Linked DNA regions of Canis lupus familiaris. The protein of the gene in region 1 purifies or fractionates together with the protein of each later gene. This does not show direct contact. Links are inferred from orthologs where the notes say so. Each region holds a gene or a part of one and is shown in the gene's direction. Other genes may lie near its edges.

Region 1 (10,193 bases):
TGTGGAAAAGTGAGATCAAGGACAACTCCTAGCTGGCTGCCACTAGAGAGAACGGAGGAGATGAGCTGGGTGTGGAAGGAGCTCTTAAACAAGTCCAGTGTGAGATGCCTGTAAGACAGGCCAGTGGAGATGCTGAGTGGGCTTCTGATCTGTGAGTCTGAAGCTCCCAGGAGAACTACAAGAGACAGTGGGATCAGCTGGCTGGGTATTTGAATACAACATTGTAATCTTTTTTTCGTTTCTTGAAGTATAGTCGACACCTAATGTACAGCACAGTGGTTGGACAAGTCTGCATGCTATGCTGCGCTAACCACAAGCATGGCTACCATCGGTTGCTGTACAGCGTTAGTACAACAGTACTGTTGACTCTACTCCCTCTGCTTTCATCCCCCTGACTCACTCATTCCATAACCGGAAACCATACAGCTCTGGGTCCCCTTTTTCCAAAATCTGTGTTCTACCCTCTACTACATCTCAAGACAATCTTCCAGGTTATGAACAAGGGAAAATAAAATGTAACTTTAAAAGACTGCTAAGCACAGCACAATTCATGATTTTAAAACGTTTTCATCAGATTATCTTCATCGATTCACATTTTTTAAAATAATTTAATCAGCAAGCACTTAACCTGTTTCTATAATCTCAGGCAGAGCAAGTTTAATGCCAAGAGGAGGAAAGTGGGATTTTCTTTAATACTTGTTTTTATTTGACTTTGAATGCTTTAGTGCAAAGCGGTGGGCCCTATTGCTCCTTCTAAGACAGGCTTATAGGTGATTAAAGAACCATCTGGCACACAAAATATAGATTTACTTGATCTGTAGGGTTGCTAGATAAAATAAAAGTTTACCAGTTAAAATTGAATTTCAGATGAACAGTGCATAATTTTTTAGTACAAGTACATCCCATGCAATATTTGCGATGTACTTATATTCTAAAAGTTTTTCTTAAAAAAATAAAAATTAATAAAAGTTTTTCTTGTTTCTCTGGAACAAATTTAACTAGATGTCCTGTATGGTTATTCACTAAATCTGACAACTCTCCTTACCTGAAATTATCAAAGCTCTACGACCAACACTACTTCTTGCTCCTTTGAACTCCAAACCAAGAAAATAAACATCTATTTGCCATCTCCATGCTGGTTCTCTCAAAGGATACTACAATCTATTTCTCTAGCTATGTAGACAGGCAGAAAACAGCTGGAACTCTTGAGGCCTTGCTGCCAGGCTTTTGCATGATTTTGCTCATTTTGTTTTGCCTCGGAGGAAGACAAACCACCAAACAGAGAAAAATAATTATATATGTACCAGGCAATTTGTAGGTAGCAGAGCTGAGAGATCTAATAATGTATTCCAGTCTGTCTCAGATTAATTGTATAATAACCTCTGCTTCAGCCTTCTCACCTGAAAAATATGGAAAATATCTTTGCTCGATGCTCCTCACAAGAGACTTTAAAATTTTGCTGAGCTGATGTACTTTTTGTTCCTTCGGAGATGGAGGAGGTGTAGTTCCCTACAGTTTTTGATAGAATATTTATTAACATTCAAACACTACAACCAAAGACAAAAACAAAAGTAGGCATTTTTTTTGCTAAAAAAGCTAATAACGAAATTAAAGGTTTAAAATAAAAATTTGTCAGAATATGAAAGGCGATTCTGAAACATGATAGCATCATTTTAAAGCTCATTTAAAACAAATAATAAATGAGAATTCAACTATATTTCTTTAAAAAGAGAAATATCAAAAAAAGTGCCTACCAGATATTAAAACATAAACACACAAAATATAACACAGAATGGTGTCAATGCAAGAAGCAGATGGAAGTGAATAGAGAGCCCGGAAACCTGTTTTTACTCACAAGTCAATAGTAAGGGGAAAAGCATTCTATGAATAGTATTAGAAGAGTGACTGCAAAACAATTCAGTTTAGAACCCTTACTTCACACCATACACCAAACTAAGTTCTCAGATCCAGCTGGAGAGGAGGAACAAATACAACTTAGAAGAAAACAGCAAACACTCATCTAATCTTTGGTGAAGGGAGGATTGCATAATCTATAAAACAGATGGGAGGAAATCACAAAATTTTTTAAAAAATAGATTTGACTACTTGGTAGAATTAGAAAGCAATTGATAGAAGTATTTCAATTTTGGATAAAGGTTAACATCTCTAATAAAGTATGTCTAAAAATCAAAAAGAAACTTGATAAATACCCAAACAATATGTAGATACAAATGGGCAAAAGATACACAATTGATAGAGAAAAAAAGGAAGTGAATTAATAAGTACTTGAGAAACACTCAACCGTGTTATTTATCAAGTCAATAAACATAATTTAAAAGATTCTACCATTTTTTACTTTAAAATCTATAAAAGTTCTTATTTTTTAGAATAGTCAATGTTGATGAGAGTGTCTGATGCACAATGCTGGCTGCTTGACATGTTTGGAGTGTGGAAGTGGACATGATGTGCCAAGAATTTTTCGGTGTTTACATTCTTTTGATCTAGTAATTCAATTAGAATTATCCTAGATTATCTAGATTATCCTAATCCTAAATTTGAAGAATTTGTCCTAAGGAAATTGTCCTTTTAAAAAACACATCACAGATTTGAAAGATATTCATTACAGTTTTTAAATAATTTTAAAATTGAAGACAATATGGAAATGATAAGGCAAATTGTGGCACAACTACTCAATGAAATGTTTTATAGCCATTTCAGATGTTTCTATGAGCACAGAAAATGCTTATGCTATAATGGAAATTGCAAAAACAGTCAAGGTTCAAAATTGCTTTTGAAATATAACTGCAATTATGTAAAAGAAATCGAAGTATAGAAACTTGACTGGAACAAAAAAATAACATGCTAACAAGGGTTATCTTTTTATGGAGCATCACATGTGGCTACTTTCTCATTCTTTTTTGTTTTTTTTTTTTTCTCCATATTAAGAATTCTCAATTGTGGAAAGATATGTAATAGAATTTAAATTTTACATCTGTGTGTATGTGTGTCCCTGTAGGACTATATATCTGTGTGCGTGCCTACTTGTGTATACGTGTACCCATATGATATCTTCTGTCCTGTGCGCAGGTCCTTTGGAGTGCTGCTGTGGGAAATATTTTCTCTTGGATACATGCCATACCCTAGCAAAAGCAACCAGGAAGTTCTGGAGTTCGTCACCAGCGGAGGACGGATGGACCCACCTAAGAACTGTCCTGGGCCTGTGTATGACCCTTTTAGGAACATTTCTACAAGTTGATAGGGACAGTTTTCCTTTTCAAAAAATACTGCAGCCACATATGCATTTTTTGTTTTAAGATGGAGGGGTTGACCTCTTTTAATACACCCCAGGATAGGGGTGTGTCTGTGACTTCTGTGAGGCGGGTCAGTCTTCCAAGTCCTCGAAAGCAGTAATGTCACGTCTGTAAAGTTATCTACTGTCTGGCTGGAGACTGTGGACTCACCAGGCTCCCACTCCTCAACACCTCCTAGGAATCTGTGTCCCAGACTCCACCCCTGCTGCCCAACACCATCTGTCTTAAGTCTCCTTTAAATATTCCCATTCCCTGCATTTTCTGCTGTCCTGCCTGGCATCACTCACCTCCTTCGCACAAGCAAGGCAGAAGGGAAATATAATTAGAATATTCTTCCCCAGAGGTGACTTTAATTCAGAAATGGAAGGAGAGGAGCCAGATTTCACGTTAACAGCAGGATGTCTGTTAATGAGCTTTGGTGTTCTAGTACCTTTACACCTGGGCACGATTCCTTGGCCCATCAGCAGAGGGCAGCAGATGCCAACCACATGGGACCTAGATAAGTTGTCACTCAAAGACTGCCTCCTCTGGTCCCCCTTAGAAAAATGCTGGGAAAAATGTATGCATCCCTGTTCTCCTAGTTTTAATTAGCGTATTTACTCTTCTTTTAGGTACCGGATAATGACCCAGTGCTGGCAACATCAGCCTGAAGATAGGCCCAACTTTGCCATTATTTTGGAGAGGATTGAATACTGTACCCAGGTATAAACATTTTCCCCCTTGAACCAGCATTTATATGGAAAAGATGGCAAATACCAAACTGTGAAATGAAAGTTAAGCCAGCCAGAAAATGTGAGTTATAATCACGAGGATGATTGCTTATCTATAGTAAGACAACTGGTCCCTCGGTTTGCCCATTTTGTAAATAAATGCTAATTATTACCTCTTCCTTTGCCAACAACATGACACAGCTGCAGAACACCCAATACCATTAGGGAATCAGTTCAAATCACAAGGCTTAAACTAAATGCCTCCTGGGTAGGTAATGGTTTTTTAGACAAAACTGGAGCTTCAGAGAAATATGGGAAACATGTGCTCTCAAATAGCTTATGGTGTGGCTAGAGAGATAATAATGTGAAATAATTTTTTTTTTAATGTGAAATAATTAATCGTATATAATTGTTAAATGGGAGGTTCAATGATAAATATTAGAGGGATTCAAGGGAGGAACAAAGTAAGCTGGAGAAATTTTAACATTATCAATAGCATTAGTACAGCATCTAAATATACAGATCACTTTTCATCTATTTCATTTTGTCCTCAGGGAGATACATAAACTATCCCCCTTTTCCAGATGAGTTGAGGCTTAGAGAGGTTTTCCAAGCCTCACGGTTTCCTAGCAGTACCACTGGTCCCTATGCAGATCCTTCTCCCATTTCCTTCAGAAATAACTCGAAATTCTCCCTTTCTACACCATTTTAGCAGACCCTGCCTCCTACTTCAAGAGAGGAGAGCCTGAGAATTCATTACCCTCTTGTCTATGCATGGACGTCCGTTCTCACCATCTTCCCCACCAGTCAGTGGAGGGGGCCGTCCCCTCCCTCAGAGGAGCCCCTGCACCTGCACCACCAGCTTCCCCGGGGACCCTCCCTCCCTCCCTCCGCAGGCAGGATCTCCTCTCCACACATCAGCCTCTCTCCCTCCCTTGGCTCTCATTCTGCCAGGATATCTAACTCCAGAGAGTATTTCAGAAGTCGGGCCAGGCACCACTACCTCCCCAAATCGCCCCATCCTGGTTGTGACTGAAGCCAAATACGTGTTCAAGCCACATCATTCATTCCTAGCACTCCCGCCCTGCTCTTCCAGCAACTTCAGCTCAGAAGTGCGGAGATGGGCCTTTATCTAGATGGACTTCATTTATCAAGTTATGTAGGGTTCTTTCAGAAAACTTGCTCTTCAGTGAATGGCATCTTAGGTTGTTATGTTGTAATTCTAATAGAATATACCCACTTAAATACATATACTTTGGAGTCATTTTTCTCCCAAGTGGATAACGTCCCTCTTAAAAGCAGGTAATTCTGTACAAGCATATTTCTAATGAGTCTCCATAGAGATTAATAATTAACAGGGAAGGAACTAAAGAATAAGAGAAGCAGAAGGTATTTTTATTCTTATACTCTTTACTGATGAATACTGGACCAAAGTGCTCTTCTGCTACACCGACGCAATGGTTTTCCCATTTTGCATAAAATATTAAAGAATTAAATTCCCCCAAGCTTGAGTTTCCTTCCACAGATTTTCTTCATATCTCTGGCAACTGCTTCTGCTTTTCTATATATCCATTGCTTTAAGAATGATCTAGCACAAAGTTGTTTTTGTAAGTGGTTTTCCTCATAGCACTGCAGGACTTCCTGGGCTTCACAAAGGGCCTGGTCAGGTCCAGACCAGATAAAGAACCACTGTGTTTTCTGCACACAGAACGATACGATGATGTAACACAGCAAACATGATAATCAAGTGTAGCCCATCCAAATATGAAAATGGAAGGTAGCTAGGAAGAGAAGAGAGAAACCTTGTGAGCCAACAGTGTGTCTCTCCTCCCCTCCCCTCGTCCCTCATGTGTACACACACGCCGACCTGAAGTCAAACACCCAGATTTTTCTTTTCAGTGGCAGGGAGTTTATTGGGAACAGACTGGGATAAGTTTTTTTTAACTGATTTATAATCTTTTTAAATCCATGAATCTGTCAGATTTTCCCAAAGGTGGTTCCCTGCAAAGTCTTCCCTGATCCCACACACCCAAGCCAGGCAGTTGGTTGGCTGCATCCCAGCACCTGGCACCTCTAGACGAGTGCTTCCCCTCCACGTCCTTTTTTTGTTTTTTTTAACCCAGCAGTTTTTTATTGGAGGCCACCCCAGCTCCCAGGAGATGGGGAGAGGCCAGGGTCCACCAGCTGTGGCAGCCTGAGCAGGAGAGGCGGGCAGCACCCCCCGCCAGGGAGGACACCACCGGCATTTCTTCTCAGGGGCAGCTGGTCCTCTGAGCCTTCTTGATTTCCTCTGATAGCGCCTCCTCCAGGGCCCGATAAAAGGATGATTTCCTATTCATCTCCTATTCCCTGGTGCCTCTGAATTAAAATATCCCCAATCAACACTGAATGGTCTCCTCACGTGTAAAATCAGTTTGGATGAGACCATCAGTAAGGTATCAGCTTCCAGATCCAGCAGTTTTGGTCTGTGATTCAACATCGTAATCCGTTTGTTTCTCCTGCCTGTAGGACCCAGATGTGATCAACACTGCTTTGCCCGTAGAGTATGGCCCACTCATGGAAGAGGAGGAGAAGGTGCCCATGAGGCCCCAAGACCCTGAGGGAATTCCTCCTCTACTCGTCTCTCCTCCACAAGCTAAACGGGAGGAAGGGCCAGATCCAGCTGCCCCGCCTCCCCTGCCTTCCACTTCCTCTGGCAAAGCTGCCAAGAAGCCCACGGCTGCGGAGCTCTCTGGTCGAGTCACTAGGGGACCAGCTGTGGAAGGAGGACACGTGAACATGGCATTCTCTCAGTCCAACCCAGCGTCAGAGCTGCACAAAGTCCAGGGATCCAGAAACAAACCCACCAGCCTATGGAACCCAACTTACGGCTCATGGTTTACAGAGAAACCCACCAAAAAGAACAATCCTCCAGCAACGAAGGGGCACCACGACAGGGGGAACCTGGGGCGTGAGGGAAGCTGTACTGTCCCACCTAACGTGGCAGCTGGCAGACTCCCAGGTGCCTCTCTGCTCCTAGAACCATCCTCGCTGACTGCCAGCATGAAGGAAGTGCCTCTGTTCAGGCTGCGTCACTTCCCGTGTGGCAACGTCAACTACGGCTACCAGCAACAGGGCTTACCCTTCGAGGGCACCACCGCGCCCGGAAGCAGCCAGTACGAGGACGCCCTCCTGAAAACCCCACCTGGGCCCTGAGCCCCCTGGCACTCGGGAGCCCCGAGCCCACGGAGGAGGGACAGGTCATCGCTCCTCCACAACCAGAGACCAAATGTCACTTTTCATTTTGTGCCAACTTGTCTTGAAGTGCCACATAAACAGCTGTATTTTCAAAATGCTTTAGAAAACAAGGTTTTGAGCATGGGTTCATCTTACTGTTTCAAAAGAAGAAAATATCATCAAGACGAGTGATGACTACAAGGCCCCAGTTCGGTTGCATAAGGTTTTTATGCATGGTTGATGTCCACTTCCTCCCGCTTCTCTCAGATCGTGTCTGCTCGGCTTCGGTGCGGCAGCACCAGCTGCTCATGTGTCTCCCGGTCGGGAGTCATAGGTGTTTCCTGACCCTGCTGGCGTGGACCCGGACCACTTGAAGGGGGCAGGGAACAGATATAAAGGAGCTACTTGGAACGAGCTGGCATGGGGAAAAGACTCTCTTTACTGGGAAAGGAAAAAAATCATAGACGACTAAGCTGAGATGGCCCTTTAGATGATGTCGGGACGCTTTCGATTGTGTCGATTCACTGATGATTGTAAAAATGTGATGAATAGTTATGGTACCATAGAGAAAATGTGAATACACTAATCTGAACGAAAAGCAGATACTCGGCGTACTTTGAGTATGATAAAGACACAGTGCGTACAGATCCAGAGATTCGAACATCCTGTCAATATACCTCATGCCTTAAGAAAACCCTCCTACCAAGGGGGAGTGAGTGCGAGGTTTCCTACTGGATTGAAAATGCAAGATTTGAATTCTTACTTCATTTAACACCTTCCACTAATTAAAATCAACTCTGATCATTTAAAAGCAAAAATGTTCAGCAGCAGTGATAGATCGAAGTGTAGAAACTTGTCCCTTCATGGGCCTAAGTGTCAATACATCCCAGGCCAAAATCTTCCAACAGTTTCCATCATGAAGGTGAACCACACAGACATTTCCACCGGCAGCGGCAGGCGGGTCACTGGAACAACAGGCCCTCAGCGGTCCTGAGAGGGACAGTGTCCGCCCTTCTAGTGTTCCCCTGCCTTCGGCCCTCCTGCAGCATGCGATCCCAGTGTACATGGGGTCATGATTTGTTCAAATATACACAGCATTGTTTAGATAGCTACCAAATGGAGATGGAAACAGAATTTTCCCTCTGGGTGGCAGAGGAAGAGCCGGGCACTGGAGTGTGGAGATGGATGCTGGCATGTGATAGTGGGGGCTCCGAACCCGGTTTTCACAAATAACATTTATTTCCATCAAAGCGAACTGGAAATGTGTTGTTTTACACCCCCGTACTTACACAATAATGCTTTATCAGTGAATTTTCATTTCATTCTTTCTTTCTGCTTCCCTGCCATTCCTTTGCTCAGCTTCCTTCCTGCTGGTGGCTATGCCAAAACATCACTTTGGGAGGAGAGCATTTTTCTTTACTTGCTAGGCTCTAAGCATTCCCAAGCAACAGGACTGTATATATTATAAATATATCTCCACCTTTCCCCCACCTCCTCACTTTCACCTACATCACAAGGCTCCCTGTGGATGTGGGAAAGCCATTCCGTTCCAGGCCAATACTAGCCAAGTGTCCATTCTTTCTGTGGCGGATACCTTGCCCTAGCCGGTGGTCCTGCACATCTTGTAGAAGCACTCCTACCCTGGACACCACTTTTCCTTTATCTTAGCTGCCCAAATAGTTTCACCAGATTACAGATGATGCTGAAACATCAACAAACTCATCTCTAAATAACCATATCAGTAAAGTTTTGGCTCATACCAGGCACAGAAGTAAATAGTCCAATGATACAAACATTAATTCATAAACCACCTAAAGGGGCCCAAGAACGATACTTTGAGAAACACTCTCCTAAAAGATAATGATGGAGGAGCTGACAAGAACTGAGAACAATTTCTCCATTTTATATCTGTAACACCAATAACCAGTTAAACAGGGAGCATGCTACATGGTTAAATAGCCAACTCTTTATGGTCCTTAATGGGGAAGAAAAAAAAATCGTATCCCTTTCTCTTCTTAAAAACTACAAATCCATTACATTTTTCAGGTTGTGCCTTACTACCACTGAGTTTGATTTGCTGATTCTAATTGTCTTCACTGGTATCAATCTTCATGTAAATGATAGTCAAGTCTTAAAAGCCTGTATACATGGATAAGTAAATAAACAACTCCACACTGAGATATGATGACCTCAAGATGTGTCATTTAACTTGCTGAAAGCCCCAGGTATCACCATGAAATTAACCTGGACTACTGTCCACTCAGTATTGCTCTAACCCATATGGCTATAGCGATTTGTACAGATGCTGTGGATGCCCTTCCTTATTAACTACGATAGAAGAGTCCTACCTAGAGCACAGGCACAATTAGAGTTTATAGAAGCCATGTTAATTAAACTGTAAGCTAGAGTATTTATATTCCATGTCCATAAATAAGCTCATCAAAAGCTCACACCCATACCACTGGGAAACAGTTTGTAAGGGAATGATCAGTTTAATTGATTAATTATTAATATGTGTACCTCAAAATTATAGCAAATCAAAATAGCAGGAATAAACCTAATTTTTAAAAAAGAGTATGATCTACTCAGTGGTCAAAAAACTGGATTCTCTCCCACCAGTTAGGTCGTGAATCCTGGCTCTCCTTGGGGTATTGGACCTGCCTGTACCCATGTGTCCATCTCCAATGAGAATGGATTCTCTTCCTCAGTATCCCACAATGAGATTACAAACCGTGTGTAAGCACCAGCACTCCCTCGTAGACCTCTTCAATTCCCAAGTGATTTGGGCCGGGCATGAGGAGAATTTCAAGTCAGAATGTGCCTATACATCCCTGCCTCTCAACCACCAAAGCTCAGTGGGAGCTCTAGCACCCACCCCTCTGGGCCTCTGGTTTCTCTCGTTTGTGCCATGTTTGATTTCATCTGTCACTCACTTCATAACAGGAGTAAAAACCCT
Region 2 (9,750 bases), on another chromosome or scaffold:
GTGTACTAGTAGCAAATTCTTTCACAAACAGCGTCTTCGATCCCTAATCGGACCCGACCGACGCCCCCCAACGCCAGCGCCCGGACTTACAACTTCGGGGAGCTGAAACTAGCTCTGCAGAGGTGGCAGCGCACAGTCAGCGGCGGAAAGAAACCTAAGTGGCCTGGGTCCCCCAAGGGTCAGCACACGCCGAGTCCCCGGAGCCCCGCACTTGGCCGGGAAGGAAACGCAAGCCTGCCAAGTCTCCATCCCACGTTCTTCCAGGAAGAAGCCAAAACGGCACGCGGGCAGCATCCTCGCTCTTCCCTGGTACTCCTCCTGGAGGGGCGGCGCTGCCTCCGTCACACCGTGCCCGGGCGCAACTCCCGAGCCTGCGGCGCTGCGTCGCCGGGTCAGACCTTCCCACGAGCCGCACGCCCGCGCCCCCTTTCCCGGATCGTTCAGCACCGCTGCGGCCACTTCTTTCCAGCACGCCCCAGCGGGCAACCTCCACGTGCCCGGGGAAGCTCCCAGAACGATCCAGAACCCCGCATGGTGCGGGGTGCGGAGGCCTCGAGCTCTAGGCACGCCCCCTCCGCCCGCTCCCCGGCGCGGGACACACTGCGGTCCGCAGCTGTCCGCGCCCTCTCGCCGCCAGGCCCTCGCGCAGGCGCCCTGCTACGCTCCGCGCCCGCGCCCCGGGAGTCCCCCGCGCATGCGCCGGTCCTGTTGCTTCAGCCCCGGTGACTAACTCCTCTTGCCCTCACTTGTCAAAGTTCACGACCTCGTTATGGCCCCCGCGGCGGCACTAACCGGTACTCGAACTCCTCGTCGTCGTATTTGTCCGAATAGTAAATCTGTTTGTGCGACATGATCACTCAGCCTGAGGACCGTCAGGCCCACTCCGGCAACCTCCAAACAACTCCCAGCAGCACGCGCTCCCACCCACTTTGGCCTAGCTTTCAAACACGCCGCCCGCGCTTCCTATTGGACCCCATGGTTTAAGGCGGGACTACTCCACCTTCAAGCCGCCGATTGGTTTAGATTTGCTTCTGTTCGAGTCCTTATTGGACCGCGCTGCTTACGTTAGTCAAGAATGAGCGTAGGGAAAAAATATGCCTCTAATTGGCTATTCCTGCCCCCGTGCGCGTTCTCGCATTGCCATTGGCTGATTCGGCAAAGTGGGACGGCTGAAGGAGGGACGCTGAGGTAGAGGGTCAGGGGTTAGTGAGGCCGGAAGTGAGTGCAATAAAGTTTCTTCAGGGAGGCCAGGCCGGGGAGAAAGTTGGAACGGCGACCTAAGGAGGCAGTGGCGTGATCCGGAACCAAATCGAGCCGCGGTGCGGTGCGGAGACTCCATGAGGCCCTGGTGAGTTAGGTCTTCTCCCTCTCCTAAGGTGACCCATTCCTCCACCCCGGAACCCCTCTCCCGGGACCCTACTTCCGGTCTTCATGTGCAAGTCCCGCCCCCTGAGACCCCCCTCCCCGGAAGTCCCACCCCCATCTTCAGGGGGCTCCCCGAACCCCGACTTGTTTTCTGTGTATTGTCCACGACCCCACCCTGCTGCCCAGCTTTCCTGGAAGTCCCACCCCCGAACATGCTTCCAAGTCCGACTGTGAGAAACCTGACGGTAGTTCTCTGAGTTCCGATTCTTCGCCTTCTGGCGACGGGTCCCCCAGGAGGCCAGAGCCCCGCCCCTCCGAGGCCCGGCCGAGTGCCGGCAGCCCCGCCCCAGAGGCTACGCCTTCCGAGAGGCCCCGCCCCCCGCCTGATGGCGTCGGGCGGTGCTGTAGCCTCGCCTCTTACAGTGCCCGGTACCCGTGATGTGGGGCCCATTCCCCCTGGGCAGCGTCCAGAGTGGGGCGGGCTCCGCCCCTCGGAGCGCTGTGGTAGTCCCGAAGCCCCTTGCTGACACAGCTTCTCTTCTCCTTGGGCTTGGGGCTCAGCTCTGCGGAGCCAGTGCTTCTGCTCCAGCAGGTGGGGCGAGCCGGGCGAGGTCAGGGGCCGCCCTCCGCCTCCCTTGCCCCTCCCCCTGCCCCGCGGAGAGGGGCCTGGACTTGGGGTTTGGCGCCAAAGGGGCCGAGAGACTTGCTCCTGGGTTCCCAGCCCAGGACAGACTCCGCCCCAGAGACAGCTGTAGGGCTAGCACCCGCACCTCGGGAGCTGGTAGGGCCGTGAGGTTGGCGTGCAACCTGCGGGTGCACCAGGAGCTAGAGTGTCCTGCTGCCTGGAAACGGTGGCCTGGCGTGGGTGGAGGGGACAGTGGCCTTTTTGCTGTTTGAGTTTTTTTGTTTGTTTAGTTTTTTGGAAGGGACTCCCCAGCCCCCGCCGCTTCTTGGGCTCTTCCCCTCCCCCCCAAGCAGAGCTCTTGTCTGGGCATTCCTCCTGGTCCCGCTTGCCCAGCCTTCCCTTCTGGAAACATTCCTGAGGCTTTCGCCATTTCCTGCTACTTGCCTCCTCCTCCCCGCTGGGCTGAGAAGCCTGGAGCAGCTCCTCCCCACACACCCAGCCACACTGACTCCCTGTAGGCCATCTCCTTTCCTATGCAAATTTAAAGAGCCCGACTTCCTCCTTCTTTCCTTCCTAAGGCCCACACCTGTGGGCGGGTCCTCGCTTCTGGATTGTGCAGACGCCGGCAGGGGAGGACGTCCTGGCCTGTGTGCAGGGGCTGCAGAGGCCAGGGTAGAAGCCTTTCCTCCATCCCTTTAGGCCAGAGAGCTAAAGGCCAGGGGAGAGAGTTGAGCACAGTATCTAACACGATTTGAGTGTTAGTATTATTAGCTACTAGTTTGCATCTTTGTATCTTCTGCAGTTTAAGAATAGGTAATTCCAAGGTGAGCATAGAGGTTGTATTTATCTCTAGTGCTTTTTTGGTGACTTTGCCTCTTCCTTCAAGGTCCCCTCTAGTGGAGCTGGAAGCTGTGCAGAAGGGATGGGCCCCAGCCCGTCCCTGGCACCCCGGCTCAGATTTGTCTTCCTCTCCCTCTGTGCTTTCATGGCCTGTCCTTTCCTCTCCCCACTTCTCTTGGAGAACTGTTGTACTCTCCCACCTCCTCCAGTGAGACTCTACCCCTGGTGTTGGGTGCACTGTGCTCCCTGGGCACACCTAACCTTCTCCACTTAAGAGAAGGAGTATGAACATGCCTGGCAGGACCAGGAAGCCAACCCTTGTGTCAGTGCCCTGTCACCTATGTGACCCAGGAAGCCGACCCCTGTGTCAGTACCCTGTCACCGAATTGCCCGTGACAGCCTGCTTTGCTAACTAGACCTGTGGGATGGGGTACAGAAGAGTGCTTGGCTGTGGGCTGCTGCCCCTGGCATGGTAGGTGCCAGCCATGGAGGGCAGGACTCCATCAGCCCGTCCCAGGCTCCAGTTCCTGCCTGAAGGTTCCCTGGTGCACCACCCAGGTTGGACTTTGTTCCCGTTACTTCTCCAGCTTCGTGCTTCCTCTTGGGCCTTCCCTGCGTCCACTGGGACCACTTGGATGCTTTCCTCTTCCCTTCACCACCTGTTCCCAGCTGTGGTAGCAGAGGGCGCTAATGGCCCAGGCTCCCCAGAGCCACCACCCCACGGTGTGATAGGGCTGGAGGAGGGGGGGCATTCCAGCAGGACAGGAACAGAAGTGCTGAGCTCAGGGGTCCCCTCCTTTCCACTCCCAGCTCCCTCTGTTTCCTGTCCCGGTCCCCCTACCCTCCCGCAGCTTCCTGCTCCCTGTGGCCTGCCCATGTCCTGTGTGGATGGATCCAGACCTCTTCTTATTTCCCTCCTTTCCTTCTCTTTCCCACATCCTTCCTTCCCACTCCACTTTACTCCTCCCCAGATTACTGGTGGTTTGTCTCGGGGCAGGGTGGGGGCACCGAGAGCTTTATCCCTGCCAGAGTTCTAGGCTGGGGCTGCTGTGGGGGCTTAGCCCCTTGGAGCCTGTGAGTCAGCACTGTCCTCGGGATTGGTCTCTGGCCTTCCCTCCCCGCCCCTGGGGAGGAGCCAGGCTGCTTCTGGTCCAGCCTGTTCTCTTCTCCGCCTGGGAAGAGGCTCCACGCTGGGCGGGGGATGGGGCCTGAAACTATCTGGGTCTGAGCCTGGGGCCGCTGGTGCCACTTGTCACTCTCCCTCCCCAGGATCCTTGAGATCCCTGGGCCATAGAATCCGAGCAGACTAAAGGCCTGGGGATGCCCCTTGCCTGGCCCCCTTGCCCTGACTGGCAGGGGGGCCAGGCTGGGCAGCAGCCTCCCTCTCACTGCAGCCATGGATCTCCTGCCCCCCAAGCCCAAGTACAATCCACTTCGGAATGAGTCTCTGTCATCGCTGGAGGAAGGGGCTTCAGGGTCCACCCCACCGGAGGAACTACCTTCCCCATCGGCCTCCTCCCTGGGGCCCATCCTGCCACCTCTGCCTGGGGATGAGAGTCCCACTACCCTGTGCTCCTTCTTCCCCCGGATGAGCAACCTGAAGCTGGCTAACCCAGCTGGGGAGCCAGGAAGGGCCTCTAAGGATGGGGAGGGGACTGGAGGGGCCGCCGTGCTGGACTCAGCCCCCCTGCCCCTCCTCCAGGACATGAACAAGCTGAGTGGAGGAGGCGGGCGCAGGACGCGGGTGGAAGGGGGCCAGCTGGGGGGCGAGGAGTGGACCCGCCACGGGAGCTTCGTCAATAAGCCCACACGGGGCTGGCTACATCCCAACGACAAAGTCATGGGACCTGGGGTTTCCTACTTGGTTCGGGTGAGTGAATGTCTCCCATTCGGTCCTCCCTGCTCCCTCCCAGACTCCTTCCTCTGCTCACTCCAGCTTTGCCGAGCTGGGAGCCTCTCGTTTTCTGCTCTTGCCGGTACCTCCCTTGGTTTCAGGATCGCTTCTCACACCTCTCTCTTCCCCTTTCTTATTCTGCGGCCCCTCCCATCCAGCTCTGCCTGGGCCCCTTACTTCTGGTGACTCCCCCACCCTGCCATGCTTAGCACAAAGCCCAGCACGTTGCCACCCTTAGTAAGTGTGGGAATGAGCGGTCCTGATTGTATCCTCCAGCCTCCTCCCTCTGGGGATGTCACCTTCCCCACCCCCCACCCCAGTGCCCATCACTGTCCTCGAGATCCTCTTCCCAGATGTCCAGGCCCTCCTGGCTTGCTCGATCCTCCGCCCCTCATTTCCTGTGGTCTGGCACATTGTGGGTGTAGCCGCAGGCTGTGGGCAAAACTTGGTCTTCACTCTTCAGAGTCAGCCTTTTGGCTAAGATCAAGTGTAGGAAGCACTCAGGGGAAAGGCCTGGGACTCTTTTTGTGGAGGGGGTGCTGACTCGTTACCTTCCTTTCCTCCTTTCAGTACATGGGCTGTGTGGAGGTCCTGCAGTCAATGCGTGCCTTGGACTTCAACACCCGCACCCAAGTCACCAGGTTAGTGGGGAGGGGGCAGACTGGGGATTCCTGAATTAATGAGGGGAGAGGGGGTACATAGGGGAGTGGGCTCCTGGATCAGTGAGTATAGGAGGGAGTGGGTCTTGGTCACTTGCTAGTGATGGCTTACCTTCAGGGATAAAGGATTGAGAGAAAGTTAGGGGAATCAGTCTAAGTCTGAATGAAAAGCAGCACCTCTCTGGTCTGGGACCTTCTTATTTATCCAGTCCTGTGTATGGTGGGAGAGGTGGCAGAGGCAGCTGGCAGCTGGAGCCTGAGTATAAAATGGGGTGGATGGAAGATTGCTGCTGCCTTTGGGATGGAATGGGACATTTGGTCGCTGGAAGTAGGTGGGGCCAGACTCACAGAGGCCCTAACCCAATCAGCCAGGAAGTGGCCTCTCCGTGTCATCAAATATTAAAGGCCTTTAATTCAATCCACCATGACAAAGAGCCTGGAGTGCCCCTGAAGTCTGGCCTGGTCTTCCCCTCCCCCTGCCCTGTGGCAGCCCCAGCTGAGTGGGAGGCAGGCTGTGGGTCTGAGGACCCCTTTCTCTCCAGGGAGGCCATCAGTCTGGTGTGTGAGGCTGTGCCCGGTGCCAAGGGGGCTACAAGAAGGAGAAAGGTACCTGGGGCTGATGGGGCTGGGGGCACTGCTGGGAAATGTGGAGGAGCAGGGGGAAGATAAGTCTGGGACCTGTGGGGGGAAGGCCAAAAGGCGGAGGGAGGGGGATTCGTGGTGTGGGGAGCCCCCAACTTCTGAGACTCTGGGCCCTTCCCTAGCCCTGTAGCCGCCCACTCAGTGCCATCCTGGGGAGGAGTAATCTGAAATTTGCGGGAATGCCAATCACTCTCACCGTCTCCACCAGCAGCCTCAACCTTATGGCCGCAGACTGCAAACAGGTTGGTGGGGTTGGGCAAGGGGGCCAGAAACACTGCTGGGAGAGCGGAGCGGGGACCTGGCCACAGGGCCAGGAGCTAAGACAGGAAGGAAGGAGGAGCATAGGAGGACCTGGGCTAAGAAGCCAAAAGGGTGGGACTGACACTCCAGGGCTCCGGGCCCGGGCTGGGGGTGCCCAGGAAGGCCCCAAGGCTGCCTGACCTGTGTTATTCCCTTCCTTCTCTGTACCCTGCCCTAACCCTCAGATCATCGCCAACCACCACATGCAGTCTATCTCCTTTGCGTCCGGTGGGGACCCGGTGAGTTGGGGAACAGGGTGGAGGTGGGGGAGGAGTAGGGGCCATGCTGTCTGGAAAGAGGGTGTGCTGGGGTCCAAGTGGTGTCTGGAAAGGACCAGGATGTGTAGGGGTCAGGAATGAGGTGGGCTGGAAACTGGAGCTAAGTGGCTTCTTCTGACCCTGCCCACCCCAGGACACAGCTGAGTACGTCGCCTATGTTGCCAAAGACCCGGTGAATCAGAGAGGTGAGGCGTGGTGGGGAGCGCTGGGTGGGGCCGGCTGTCCGTGAGGCAGGTGAGCAGGACCTGGGTAGCTAAGTAGGGCTTCGGCTGGGAAGATGAGGCCCCTGACCGCGCCTCCTCCCAGCAGTCCACCAGAACTCACTGACTGCCTTTACTGTGCCCCCAGCCTGTCATATCCTGGAATGTCCCGAAGGGCTTGCTCAGGATGTCATCAGCACCATCGGCCAGGCCTTCGAGTTGCGCTTCAAACAATACCTCAGGAACCCGCCCAAGCTGGTCACCCCTCATGACAGGTGAGCGGGTGCGCAGGGTATGGGCAGCTCCTAGGCACTAGCTGGAACTGAGAAAGCAGGTCTGCTCCACTGCCCACGCTTGAGCTCAGAGAGGGTCAGGGGGAAATAACCTGTGTGCCTGTTTCCCACTTCCTGCTATTCTTACGTTTCCTGTGGCCGTCAGGAAAGTCTGGCCAGGTCCTGCCTGCTTCTGCAGGCCCGCTCTTCCTCTCGTATGCCAGGCCACCGTGCTGCTGCTCTGCCCTTCTGTCCTCAGCCACCTCACTGCTGGCCTGTCTCTCTTTCTTGACCATTTCTCCGTCCTTATTTTTTCACTTTCTTGCCCATAGAGCCATCAGGAATTTGGGTGAGGGAGGGTGTCTTTTTTCCTGAGATCTCGACCTTTCTTTCCCACCTTAGATCAGTAGCTACTGAGTATTTAGAGGAGGTTAAAATATTCTGGAGTGCATCCCTTCTTTCTACTGTGTGCTTCCCCTTCCTCTTGGGAGATAGCATAATAACTGAGAACATGAACTTTAAATCAAATCTGATGTTACCATTCAGGTCTGCCACCGTTTAATTGTGAAACAATAAGCAAACGTCTCCACCTCTGCTCCTCATCTCACCTGTATCACTGGAGAAGGGGGTATAGATACCTTGCAGGGCTGCCAGGGGGATAGAATGCCTGTGTGTAGGAAACGCCCAGACTCAGGCCCACCCTGCAGGAAGTACCCAGTCCATGGCCACTGTCTGTGCCCCCTTGTTCCCTCCTGTCCCTCTCAGGATGGCTGGTTTTGACGGCTCAGCTTGGGATGAGGAGGAGGAAGAGCCACCTGACCACCAGTACTATAATGACTTCCCGGGGAAGGAGCCCCCTCTTGGGGGAGTGGTGGACATGAGGCTTCGGGAAGCAGCCCCCCTGGGGGCTGTTCGGCCCACCCCACACGTTGTCCAGACCCCCAGCCACCTGGGAGCAACGCTGGTAAGTTATTTGGATGGAGGTGGGCTGGGCCTGGGATGGGAGTGGCCAATTTGGGCTTCTGGTCTCATTTCATTTTTGTTTCTGCAGCCTGTGGGGCAGCCTGTTGGGGGAGACCCAGAAATTCGCAAACAGATGCCACCTCCACCACCCTGCCCAGGTGTGAAGGGAGCTGGGAAGGGCAGAGTCAGGGGTGTGGAGGCAGGGCTGGGGTCACGGTGATGCCTCTGTTTCCTTATCAGGTAAAGAGCTCTTTGATGATCCATCCTACGTCAATGTCCAGAACCTAGACAGGGCCCGGCAAGCAGGGGGTGGGGCTGGGCCCCCCAATCCTGCCATCAATGGCAGCGTGCCCCGAGATCTCTTTGATATGAGTGAGTGCTTCTCTCTCCACTCTGCATCTCTGTCTTCCTACTCCCTGGGTTCCTCCCCTTGTGTCCTGCTCTTTCCTTCCCGGCCTCCCCTCCCTGAAAGTTTGGGTCTGGGTGTGTGTTGTGCCAGTTGCCTCTCAGGCCTCTCTCTGAACCCCCAGAGCCCTTCGAAGATGCGCTTCGGGTGCCTCCACCTCCCCAGGCGGTGGCCATGGCTGAGCAGCTCCGAGGGGAGCCCTGGTTCCATGGGAAGCTGAGCCGGCGGGAGGCCGAGGCCCTGCTGCAGCTCAATGGGGACTTCCTGGTGCGGGAGAGCACGACCACACCCGGCCAGTACGTGCTCACTGGCTTGCAGAGTGGGCAGCCCAAGCACCTGCTGCTGGTGGACCCGGAGGGTGTGGTGAGTGTATCAGGAGTTGGGGGGGGGAGGGCGTGGCAGAAAGGAGGGTGCAGCATGCTCCATGCAGCTATGCGTCTTTCCTCCCTGCTTACTGCTTTTCCTGCTTGGCAGGTAGATGCAGGCATTCTTCCCTTCTCAGACTCCTGAACCTGAGCTCTGTTCCTTTCAGTCCTCAAATGCCCAGCCCTGAAGTGCATTTGAGCTGGGTGTTCATTTTGCCTGAGCCCCTCTTTTGATAAAGGAGGAAACCATCCTGGAGAGGTGGCAATGCCCTTCACCTGAATTGACCCCCTCCCTTCCCACTCCTCAGGTTCGAACAAAGGATCACCGCTTTGAGAGTGTCAGCCACCTCATCAGCTACCACGTGGACAATCACTTGCCTATCATCTCTGCGGGCAGTGAACTCTGTCTCCAACAGCCTGTGGAGCGGAAGCTGTGATCCATCTCAGTGCTTTCTCCCCGAAGGGGTCCTTCCACCACTTCCACTCTATTCCTTGAGTCTCAGGACCTCATTTGAGGGTGTTCTGTGGGCTTGGCCTTGTTGTGTTGGAGCTGGGGATAGTGTGGACATGGTTCAGCATCCAGCTGAATGAGAGGTTTTGTCAGAAGCCTGGGGTAGAATTTTGTTTCTCCCCAAACCTTACCAAAGTATTAATGTACAGAGTGGCCCCCTTCCCTGGGCCCTTCCTGTGCCAATCTGATACCCCCTTCCCCAAGAAGGTGGGTGCTTGAGGCCTAGGCAGTGTGCCTCCTTGAAGTGAGAAAGGCCTAATGGGGCAATCACCTTCCCAGGGAAGGGGACTGAATCACACCTTTGGTCTATTCCTGGGCTCAGGGTATCCCAGACCCCTCTCAACAACTCTCCCTCCCAGTGGTTAAACTTTGTGCCTTTGACCATCTTCTAGGTCTGAAGACATTTTATGCAAAGAATTCTTGAGCCCCT
Region 3 (10,454 bases), on another chromosome or scaffold:
GCTTGAGTGCTGAGACCTAAAGATTGGCTCCCCTGACCCACCCCACTGAGCCTGTTCACTCCTTTCTTGCCAGAATCATGACCTTTTTCTTTGCTCAGATGAGGAGACTGAGCCCCAGAGAAAGGAGGGGGGATTTCCCTTGATCGCCCAAAGGGTTCTGGTTTAGCCTCAGCCTCAGGACTCCAGGTGCCAGGGGAGTATTTACCTATCCAGCCCCAGGTGGGCTCAGCCCACAAGTCAGAGGTCCTGAGATGTTGGGCCAGGCCCCAGGGGATGTCCCTGTTTCCTCAGTATATCAGCCAAGGACTTGAAGAACATGCTGTCCCAGGTCAACTACCGGGTTCCCAACATGCGCTTCCTCCGAGAGCGTCTGACGGTGAGGACCCCTGTGCTATCTGCAGGCAGTAGGGGCGGCCTGGGAGCTCCTGGCTGTGGGCCTGACCAGAGTCCTGCCCTATCCATGTAGGACCTGGAGCAGCGCAGCAGTGACATCACCTACGGGCAGTTTGCTCAGCTGTACCGCAGCCTCATGTACAGCGCCCAGAAGACGGTGCATGAGCCACCTGCCCTCCCTTGGCCCTTGCCCCCAACCTCCTGCCCCAGCCCCTGCCCCACCCACATCAGCCCCGCTGCCCTGCTTGAGGGCGTTTGGGTGTCATCTCTCCAGCTGTTCTCCTCTGGAGGCCTCCCCCTGTCTGTTGCCCTGGCCTTTCTTCTTGAAAGCCCTTCCCCCATGTGGCCTCCCAGGGGCTCTGGCTCTGACCAGCTTCTGTCTCCTGCAGATGGACCTCCCCTTCTTGGAAGCCAGTGCCCTGAGGTTTGCTTTGAAGCGGGGCGGCAGGGTTCTCCCCCGGGCCTCCTCCATCTCTCCCTTGGTGATGCCTGGTCCAGGTGGGAGGCATTGGGAGGGGATGAGTCATGCTGGACCCTTTGGGACAACTCTGCTGGGTGGGAGCTGGACTCTGCCTTCCATGGGGCCCCTCGTCATCTGTGGGCTGTGCTAGCCACCTGGCTGCCAGGTACTTCCCTTCTTTTCCACAGGGCAGGGGAGCGCCCGGAGCTCTGTCGTGTGTCCCTTCCTGAGTTTCAGCAGTTCCTCCTCGAGTACCAGGGGGTATGGTTGGTCAGACAGGGCCATGGTACCTGGATAAGGGGGGCTGGGCTCATCACTGACAGCCTTTCACGTACCCCTCCCCAACCCATCCCCACCAGGAGCTGTGGGCTGTTGATCGGCTTCAGGTGCAGGAGTTCATGCTCAGCTTCCTTCGAGATCCTTTACGAGAAATTGAAGAGCCTTACTTCTTCCTGGACGAGGTGAACCCTACTTTCACCTTTCCCTCAGAGTAGGGGTGCACTCACCAGAACCCCACCTGGGTCTCAGGAGCCAGATTCTCCTTAGGGCTTCCACCTTGTTCCTCCCTACTGTCCACTTTGCCCACCATGATAGACACTGATGAGCATCATCTCCTTCCCACCGTGGCCCATGCCAGTGGGCTGGTAAGGGGCTTGTTCACTCTGTCTTTCCTTTCTTTCCTCTTCCTGGACAGTTTGTCACCTTCTTGTTCTCCAAAGAGAACAGCGTGTGGAATTCACAGCTGGATGCAGTGTGCCCGGACACCATGAACAACCCTCTGTCCCACTACTGGATCTCCTCCTCCCACAACACGTGAGTGGCTCACTCGGCCTCACCCGGCCCACCCCTGGGAAGGAGGCACTCACCCAACCACCCTTACCTCTCCTTCCCTGTCCAGGTACCTGACTGGGGACCAGTTCTCCAGCGAGTCCTCTCTGGAAGCCTATGCTCGCTGCCTGCGGATGGGCTGTCGCTGCATTGAGTGTGCGTGGTGGCCGGGGCTGGGGGAGTAGGTAGGTTAGGAGGCCTGCCCTCTTGACTGTGGTCATGTTCCTCCCCAGTGGACTGCTGGGATGGCCCAGATGGGATGCCAGTCATTTACCATGGGCACACCCTTACCACCAAGATCAAGTTCTCAGATGTTCTACATACCATCAAGGAGCATGCCTTCGTGGCTTCAGAGTGAGTTGAGGGGAGGGGCAGGGGGCAGTTTGGCTCCAGCTCTCTCCTGGGAGAGAGGGCCCCCCTAATGCCCTGTCCCCACTCCCCTTTTTATCTTTGTCCTTCTTGGCCTCCCTTCCTTTCTTGCTGCTTTCTGGAGCCCTTCTTTCTAAGCCCCACCCTGTTTCCTACATCCTCAGCCTGCCCCCTTTATGGGTTCTTCTCTAGTCTGTGGAGCAAACTGAAGTCCTACCCTCCTCAGAAAATACTTCCATCCAGCGGCCAGGGCCAGCATCCTCTCTGGGCAGCTTCCCTAGAGACAGGGCCTCCAGGATCTTGATTCCTAACACCTTTCCTGAGGGGCCATTTGGACTGAGCATTGACCCCTTGAAATTGTAAGGTGTTTGTCATTGCACTGGTCCACTGCCCTGCAGGTATCCGGTCATCCTGTCCATCGAGGACCACTGCAGCATCGCCCAGCAGAGAAACATGGCGCAGTACTTCAAGAAGGTGCTTGGGGACACACTCCTCACCAAGCCTGTGGACATCGCCGCTGACGGGCTCCCCTCACCCAACCAGCTCAAGAGGAAGATCCTCATCAAGGTAACAGTGGGAGGCCCAGCACTTGCCAGCACCTCGCCCAGGCCATGGCTCTAACTGGCAGGCTCAGCCTTGGTGAGGAGGTGGGGAGACTCTGGGACTGGGCTGGCACTGTCATGTCCTGGCCTGCCCCCATAGCACAAGAAGCTGGCAGAGGGCAGTGCCTACGAAGAGGTGCCTACGTCAGTGATGTACTCCGAGAACGATATCAGCAACTCCATCAAGAATGGCATCCTCTACCTGGAGGACCCGGTGAACCATGTGAGGGCCAGGCCTGGCTGAGGCTGGAGGGGCACGGTGGGAGGAGGCCTCCATTCACGGGCCCCACTTCGGTCTCTCCCAGGAGTGGTACCCCCACTACTTCGTTCTGACCAGCAGCAAGATCTACTACTCTGAGGAGACCAGCAGTGACCAGGGCAATGAGGATGAGGAGGAACCCAAGGAGGTGAGGGGCCAGCCCAGGGCTGGGGGTTGGGCTGGGGTCAGAGTCACTGAGTGTCTTTGCTGTTGCCCTCCCCTCACAGGCCAGTGGCAGCACAGAGCTGCACTCCAGTGAGAAGTGGTTCCACGGGAAGCTTGGAGCAGGACGGGATGGACGGCACATTGCCGAGCGCCTGCTCACCGAGTATTGCATTGAGACCGGGGCCCCTGATGGCTCCTTCCTCGTGCGGGAGAGCGAGACCTTCGTGGGCGACTATACCCTCTCTTTCTGGTAACCCACTTACCACAGTCTGTAGTTGGTTCCTGTTGCAGGCTTTCACATGGAACGTGATCTACTAACATGCATGCACACGCACATACAGTTTTCTGGGTGATCTGAAGCCCTCCCGCAGGGCTGCCTGGCACCCAAGCCCCTTGGGCATCTCCCTGGGGCTGGAGCGCCATGTTCCAGGCCAAGCCTGCTTCTCACTGCCTCCCACTGCCTCCCCATCTTCCCACAGGAGGAACGGGAAAGTCCAGCACTGTCGGATCCATTCCCGGCAGGATGCTGGGGCCCCCAAGTTCTTCTTGACAGACAACCTGGTCTTTGATTCGCTCTATGACCTCATCACGCACTACCAGCAAGTGCCCCTGCGCTGCAACGAATTTGAGATGCGCCTTTCAGAGCCGGTCCCACAGACCAATGCCCACGAGAGCAAAGAGTGAGGGAGGGGCTGGGGGCTGGGTGGGGACCTGAGCAGTGATGGCCAGGGCTTGACTCGGGCCTGTCCTCAGGTGGTACCACGCCAGCCTGACCAGAGCTCAGGCCGAGCACATGCTGATGCGTGTTCCCCGGGATGGGGCCTTCCTGGTGAGGAAACGGAATGAGCCCAACTCCTATGCCATCTCTTTCCGGTGAGGGGTGTGGCCTTGGGGTGCTCTGGGTGGTGCGGGGCTACGCCTTGGTCTGGGATGCCCTGACCCTGTGTGACTGTTCTGTTAAGGGCCGAGGGCAAGATCAAACATTGCCGCGTCCAGCAGGAGGGCCAGACTGTGATGCTGGGCAACTCTGAGTTTGACAGCCTCGTGGACCTCATCAGCTACTATGAGAAGCACCCGCTATACCGCAAAATGAAGCTGCGCTATCCCATCAATGAGGAAGCGCTGGAGAAGATAGGCACAGCTGTGAGAGCCCAGTGGTTGAGGGGGCATGGCAGGCAGTGCAGCCCTGGGCTAGTTGCTGGGGGTAGTCATGGGACAGTCTGGCTGTGTGGGACACAGAAGCCAGGGAGTTGGAGGAGCTCCAGGGTAGGTCACTCTGCTGGGCTGGGGGCCATGGTGTAGGTGCCAGGACAGTGTCCTGGAGGGAATGTCATCTAAGAGGACATGTCTCTAAGAATGGGTATGCATTAGGTGAAGAGATTAGAGGTGGGCATCTAAGCCCCCGCAAGCTGGGTGTGTGGTAAGGAAGTCCTGGAGCTCACACAGGGAACGGTAGTCCCAAGGCCAGAGGCTTACCCAGCTGGGTGTAAACTTGACTGTCACTAGCGCAGGGGAGAGCTGGCTACAAGAAGTGTGGCTGTAGAGGGGAGAGGCACCGGGTTAAGACAAGTGAGATGGAAGGCTGCACAGATGATCTTGGGGGCGGGGAGGGCTCAGGGCTGGAACCAAAGGACAGAAGGAAGGCATCTAGGAGGGGAGGTCCACTTGAGACTTGCCATTGGCAGGCATGGGTGTCCAGGGATAGAACTACACATACTGGGGCCCGGCTGGTGGATTGGTGTGTGGGACCGGGGTGCACAGGGAGGAGTAGATGAGCCACTGAGCTAGAACATTGAGTGCGGGGCCCCTGCAAGACTCCACTGCAAACAGCTCAGCAGCAGTTTGGGCCTTCAGGAACAGAGAGGTTTCAGAATCACAAGGTGGGTTTCAAGGGTAAGAACGTGGAGGGGGAGAGGGCCAGGCAGGCCGTGCCCACTGAGGTCCGAGATGCTGGTGGACCTGGCCTAGTGAGGCGGGACACATGGTGACTGTTATGCTGATTGAAGGGGCACAGGCAAGGCGGCAGCCATTGTCCTCTTTGGGTGTGAACATCTCACATTTGGTCTTGTTTCTAGGAGCCTGACTATGGAGCCCTGTATGAGGGACGCAACCCTGGCTTCTATGTGGAGGCAAATCCTATGCCGACTTTTAAGGTACAGCCTCAGGCCTTTGGACCCAGGAATGCTTAGGGCTTGCATTTCTCTGCTCAGGGGCCCATCTGTGGTCGTTGTGGAGAAGTGGTGCTTGTGGTTTTCCGAGGCCTGAGAGGTTGTGAGAGATGTGGTTTCTGTACGACCACAGCTCTCCTGGGGCCGACCCCCTCCCTGAACTTGTCCCTGGGGGGTCCGCAGTGACCCTTCCAGGTTGTTCCCCAGGGTAACTCCCGCTTCCTCCATGGGTGGCAACAGGGCAGCAGGGCAGGGGCAGGCCACACTGGCCAGAAAACTTTGTTCTTTGCTTCTCAGTCCCTCACCTCCTGAAGGTCTGCCAGAGACCTTTTTGCTTTTTTCTCTAAGGGGTAAAGAAGCTGTGCCCTATTCCTCATTCCCTTCCCTCAGTGGCCAGGGAACCTGGGAAAAAGGTTATTTTCTCCCACATTCCAGATGAGGAATGATAGTGTCCCATCCATGCCTATAGGCTTTCAGGTCCCAGGAGAGGCGCTAAGGGTACCTGCAGCCCTGACTCCTGGGGGCAGATTCAAAGTTCTCCCCAGGGCCCAGGCTGGGGGGCTTGCAGGGTTTCGTCTGGACCCCATGGAGTCTCTGTGATAGAAGCCCTGGGCCTGTCCTCAGTCACATCTGACCTGGAGCCACCTGTAGGGCCATTATTAAGGATCATAGCAAGGTGGGCCGCCCCAGGTCAGGAGAGTGGCAAGGAGGGACCGCCTGCCCTGACCAATGCTTCCCTCCCCTGCAGTGTGCCGTCAAAGCCCTCTTTGACTACAAGGCTCAGAGGGATGACGAGCTGACATTCACGAAGAGCGCCATCATCCAGAATGTGGAGAAGCAAGAAGGTGGCTGGTAAGCCGGGTCCTTGGAGCCAGGGCCTGCGGTGCGTGGGGGGCAGGCTCTGTGCACCTCTGCCACCGTATGGTTGTAGTCCACCCTGCATGTGCGTCAGCACTGCTGGCTGCAGCCTGGTGTAGGTGTGGGGCCTTGACGATGGGTTTCCCACCCCTTGGGAATCTGGATGGCTACTGGGGTCAGCACCATATGGCTTCCACAGGTGGCGGGGGGACTACGGGGGGAAAAAGCAGCTCTGGTTCCCGTCAAACTACGTAGAAGAGATGGTCAGCCCTGCAGCCCTGGAGCCTGAGAGGGAGGTGAGAACAGAGCCATGTTGCTGGAACAGGGTCCCCGTCCCCAGACTCTTCTCGTGCACAGTCCAGTCACACCCCGCTATGGGGTCCGTGCGTTCATGTCGTCGTGTGTCCGCTTGTAAGACGTGTGTGTTGCCTGCACATAGCCCTCCCTCACACGCACATACACAGCAGACATGCTGATGGCCCCATGGACTTTGTTCTCCACAGCACTTGGATGAGAACAGCCCCCTGGGGGATTTGCTCCGTGGGGTCTTGGATGTGCCAGCCTGTCAGATTGGTGAGCCCCCATCTGATTTTCCAGCCCACTGTTCCTCATGGTCAGGCTCTCCTTGGTGGCTCTCTAGGTGTTCTGAGGGAAGAAGCCAATGCCTGCCCATCACAGAGGCTGCTCTCGCAGTCTGGATTCCCTGTGCCTGGATTCCCACTTGACACCCTAGACTCCTCTCTTCACCTCTGGCTTTGAGCCCTACACACTCACCCTGTGCTGGGCACTGTGGGGGTAATGCAGAGGGCTAGCTAACCTCTGCAGTCTTCAGAGCTGGGGTCACAGGGTGTGCTGGGCATGGAGATGGGGTGGGGCAGGGCACGTGACCCAGGCAAGACAGCCCTGGCCCGCCTTTTCTGGCAGCGACTTCTCTTTGAGCTGTGGTGTCCTCAGCTGGAAAATGGGCCTAGCCCAGCAGCCTTGCTTCCCTCAAGATGTGTGGGGAGGAGGATGGGTGGTGAGGGGACTCTGAGCCAGCACCTGGGCTGTGGTGTGGGGGACACAGAAACACCTTCCCAGCTCTCTTCTCTCGCTCTCCCAGCTATCCGTCCTGAGGGCAAGAACAACCGGCTCTTCGTCTTCTCCATCAGCATGGCTTCAGTGGCACACTGGTCCTTGGATGTCGCTGCTGATTCACAGGAAGAGCTGCAGGACTGGGTGAAGAAGATCCGAGAAGTGGCCCAGACGGCAGACGCCAGGGTGAGAGGCGTCTGTGGGGGCGCAGGGGCGCATGCTGGCAGCATGTGAGCCTGTTGGGGGCGAGGCCTGCGGCACCAGGCCCACCTCTAGGCTGGGATCCGCAGAAAACACACATTGCCAGTCCTGTGGCTCCTTCAGGGCTGGGTTTGAGATAGCCATAGGACACCCCTGTGGGTCTAACACGCACCAGGATAAACGCAGGGCCAGAGAAGTCCTGGGCTGGAGGCAGGAACCAGGTACCTGGAGGCTCAGGAGGGATGAGTGGTATGGAGTGGGAAGAGGGCTTTAATGTTGAGGTGTGGATAGCAGGAGGAGGAGCCGGGAAGGTGGGCCAGAGAAGCTAGAAGTGGCTGAGGGGGTGGATGGGGTCAGATGTGTCGAGGGGCAGTGGAGGTACTGACAGGCACAGTAAGAACATGAAAGTGCCCGTTGGTTTTGGCAGCAGTTAAGAGTCCTGGTGCCACTACCAGGAACCATGGCTGCGGGTGTCGGGGAGTGTAGGAATGGCACGGACAGTGCGCCTCCTCCAGGGCCAGCTGGGAGGAGGGTGGAGGGAGGACTCTTCCACTGAACCTGGGGAATGGAGAGAGGAAAGCACTCTAAGAGGTGAGGGAATTCTATGTGATGGCCGTTTCCTCTGGCTGTTGGTGGGGGTAGAGGGCTACAGGTCTGTGGCTCTTCTGGAGAACAGGCACCCAGGAGCCATACAAAATGGAAGGTGCTGAGGATTATACTGGCAGACCTGCTGGTTAGGAGATGGACTCTGGGGACTGGGCTGAAAGAGGAGGGAGTAAGAGTGTGGGTGTAGGAGACCCTGATGGAAGAGAGATGGCCTCTGGGGGCATGAGGACAGGATGGGGCGAGCTTGTGAGTGGCTGTGGTGGATAGGTGGCTGCACTGGGGTTGGGGGAGGGGAGGTGGTAAGGTTCTTAGGCCTGGGAGGTGGGCGGAGCACACCAAAGACTGAGCCAGAGGCCTGCGTCCCCACCAAGGTCACAAGAGGGAGGCTGGACACCCAGTGATCACAAAGCATCACTGGAGAGCGTAGCCAAGCCCAGGGCCCTGAGCTGTGGCTAAGGCATGGGTGGTGGTGAGGATCCCACCCTCTGAGAGTCTTAGAGGCAAGTGTGGCCTTCAGGGCAAGGAAGAGGAAGGATGATTCTGGGGTGGGACTTGAGGACAGAGGCCAGTGGGGTCTGGGAGATGTAGGGGACAGGGAAGGGCCTGGAGAGCACCTGCAGTGTGGGTGGGGCTCCAGCCTGGGGCTACAGGCTCTGTGTGTGTCACCAGCTCACGGAGGGGAAGATGATGGAGCGCAGGAAGAAGATCGCCCTGGAGCTCTCCGAGCTGGTTGTCTACTGCAGGCCGGTTCCCTTCGATGAAGACAGTAAGGGCTGAGGCCTCGGCGGGGTGGGTTTGGGTGCCCGCCCCCTGCCTCCTGGCAGGCGGAAGAGAAGCATTTCGTTCCTTATGTTGAGGTTGGGGGAGCTGCCTGGGTGGGTGGGCTCTGTAAGCATTCTCCCTGTTTGGCCCAGAGATTGGCACAGAACGTGCCTGCTACCGGGACATGTCATCCTTTCCGGAAACCAAGGCTGAGAAATATGTGAACAAGGCCAAAGGCAAGAAGTTCCTCCAGTACAACCGGCTGCAGCTCTCACGCATCTACCCCAAGGGCCAGCGGCTAGACTCCTCCAATTATGACCCCCTGCCCATGTGGATCTGTGGCAGTCAGCTCGTAGCCCTCAACTTCCAGACCCCAGGTGAGGAACTGCCCACTGGGGCAGGGAGGGGCTCCGCTGGACTGTGGGGCTGGAGTCCACTGTAACCCGGTTCTTCCAGACAAGCCCATGCAGATGAACCAGGCCCTCTTCATGGCCGGCGGCCACTGCGGCTACGTGCTGCAGCCGAGCACCATGCGGGACGAGGCCTTTGATCCCTTTGACAAGAGCAGCCTCCGAGGCCTGGAACCATATGCCATCTGCATTGAGGTGGGTGGTGCTCACTGAGCTGTGGTGGGCTTCAGGGTGGGTTGGGGTTGCTCTGCTGGGGCTCGTTTCCTGAGTCAAGGATGGGGTGTCAGTGTGACTGGGGAGTGGGCAGTGGACTGTTTTCTGAGCTCAAGGAAGGAGTGACCATCCTCTGAGGCAGAAAGACAGGTGCCAGCCTCCTCCGTGGGGCTAGGCCCAGAGTGGCAAAGGCCCAAGGCAGGTGGGCCAAATGTGGCCAGTTCTTAGCACTAAAGAGTCAGGCTGTCCAGTGAGGCCAAGCTACGGGTAGCCACTGCCTGGCTGAACAGGAAGCTAATGCTAGCGGTCAGCCACCCACTGGGGCTAGTGAGGACTGGGCTTGAGTGACAATGACGCCTGCCCCCAGTTCTGTTTTAGAACAGTCCCTGAGCACCAGCCGGGCAGCCTGTGCTGTGGACTTCAGGGTCTGGGGGCTGAGCAATCTGGAAGGAGGGCTGAGGATAGCACAGGGTGAGCATGTGCTCCTTCCCTGAGAAGACATTTCTGTTTTCTTTCCCTGTGGGGACATCGTTTAAAAGATGTCCATGTTAAAACAGACATGGATTTAATGAGGTAGGTTTCCAAGGCCACTGCTCTCAGTGAGCCACGTATTAGGCCGCCTCTGTGGGGCCCAGCAGAGGGCGCACTGCCTCCACTGCATGGTGAGGACCCGGAGGGAGCGGGAAGGGGAGTCCCGGGCCCATCTTGGCCTGCCTTCCAGGTGCTGGGGGCTCGGCACCTGCCAAAGAATGGCCGAGGCATCGTGTGTCCTTTCGTGGAGATTGAAGTGGCCGGAGCAGAGTACGACAGCATCAAGCAGAAGACAGAGTTCGTGGGTAGGTCTGCCTTCCCCACTCACCCCACCCTGAAGGCCCCTCCACGCCAGCGAGCCTGTCCTCTCATGGCGGTGGCCTGAGGCCTTTTACCCTGACTTTCACAGTGGACAATGGACTGAACCCTGTGTGGCCTGCTAAGCCCTTCCACTTCCAGATCAGTAACCCAGAATTCGCCTTTTTGCGCTTTGTGGTGTATGAGGAAGACATGTTTAGTGACCAGAACTTCCTGGCTCAGGCTACATTCCCGGTG

Evidence for each region.
Region 2: the proteins of ALK (region 1) and SHC1 purify together in Homo sapiens (affinity purification with mass spectrometry; 3 studies listed by BioGRID and IntAct, with this or other methods). This does not show direct contact. The link is inferred for Canis lupus familiaris from reciprocal best matches to the Homo sapiens genes ALK and SHC1.
Region 3: the proteins of ALK (region 1) and PLCG1 purify together in Homo sapiens (affinity purification with western blotting; 3 studies listed by BioGRID, with this or other methods). This does not show direct contact. The link is inferred for Canis lupus familiaris from reciprocal best matches to the Homo sapiens genes ALK and PLCG1.

The regions. Positions count from the first base shown.
Region 1 is NC_049238.1:23,037,815-23,048,007, reverse strand, and holds the end of ALK (ALK tyrosine kinase receptor), read left to right. Parts: intron 1-1,304; exon of another isoform or gene 1,305-1,400; intron 1,401-1,401; exon of another isoform or gene 1,402-1,448; coding exon of another isoform or gene 1,449-1,509; intron 1,510-3,087; coding exon 3,088-3,222; intron 3,223-3,922; coding exon 3,923-4,013; intron 4,014-5,395; exon of another isoform or gene 5,396-5,684; coding exon of another isoform or gene 5,685-5,802; intron 5,803-6,529; coding exon 6,530-7,216; 3' UTR 7,217-9,417; downstream 9,418-10,193. UniProt on the Homo sapiens protein: Neuronal receptor tyrosine kinase that is essentially and transiently expressed in specific regions of the central and peripheral nervous systems and plays an important role in the genesis and differentiation of the nervous system.
Region 2 is NC_049228.1:42,485,987-42,495,736, forward strand, and holds the start of SHC1 (SHC-transforming protein 1), read left to right. Parts: upstream 1-2,568; 5' UTR 2,569-4,226; coding exon 4,227-4,700; intron 4,701-5,294; coding exon 5,295-5,365; intron 5,366-5,925; coding exon 5,926-5,989; intron 5,990-6,147; coding exon 6,148-6,267; intron 6,268-6,510; coding exon 6,511-6,564; intron 6,565-6,736; coding exon 6,737-6,788; intron 6,789-6,951; coding exon 6,952-7,078; intron 7,079-7,840; coding exon 7,841-8,039; intron 8,040-8,126; coding exon 8,127-8,196; intron 8,197-8,278; coding exon 8,279-8,410; intron 8,411-8,568; coding exon 8,569-8,807; intron 8,808-9,117; coding exon 9,118-9,246; 3' UTR 9,247-9,750. Other genes in the region: CKS1B (cyclin-dependent kinases regulatory subunit 1), read right to left, coding at 793-851. UniProt on the Homo sapiens protein: Signaling adapter that couples activated growth factor receptors to signaling pathways. Participates in a signaling cascade initiated by activated KIT and KITLG/SCF.
Region 3 is NC_049245.1:29,775,604-29,786,057, forward strand, and holds part of PLCG1 (1-phosphatidylinositol 4,5-bisphosphate phosphodiesterase gamma-1), read left to right. Parts: intron 1-291; coding exon 292-376; intron 377-466; coding exon 467-550; intron 551-782; coding exon 783-817; intron 818-1,041; coding exon 1,042-1,114; intron 1,115-1,212; coding exon 1,213-1,314; intron 1,315-1,547; coding exon 1,548-1,666; intron 1,667-1,751; coding exon 1,752-1,837; intron 1,838-1,914; coding exon 1,915-2,035; intron 2,036-2,448; coding exon 2,449-2,617; intron 2,618-2,752; coding exon 2,753-2,875; intron 2,876-2,957; coding exon 2,958-3,059; intron 3,060-3,138; coding exon 3,139-3,326; intron 3,327-3,555; coding exon 3,556-3,756; intron 3,757-3,829; coding exon 3,830-3,949; intron 3,950-4,038; coding exon 4,039-4,219; intron 4,220-5,151; coding exon 5,152-5,229; intron 5,230-5,992; coding exon 5,993-6,096; intron 6,097-6,301; coding exon 6,302-6,398; intron 6,399-6,605; coding exon 6,606-6,675; intron 6,676-7,204; coding exon 7,205-7,362; and 10 more. UniProt on the Homo sapiens protein: Mediates the production of the second messenger molecules diacylglycerol (DAG) and inositol 1,4,5-trisphosphate (IP3). Plays an important role in the regulation of intracellular signaling cascades.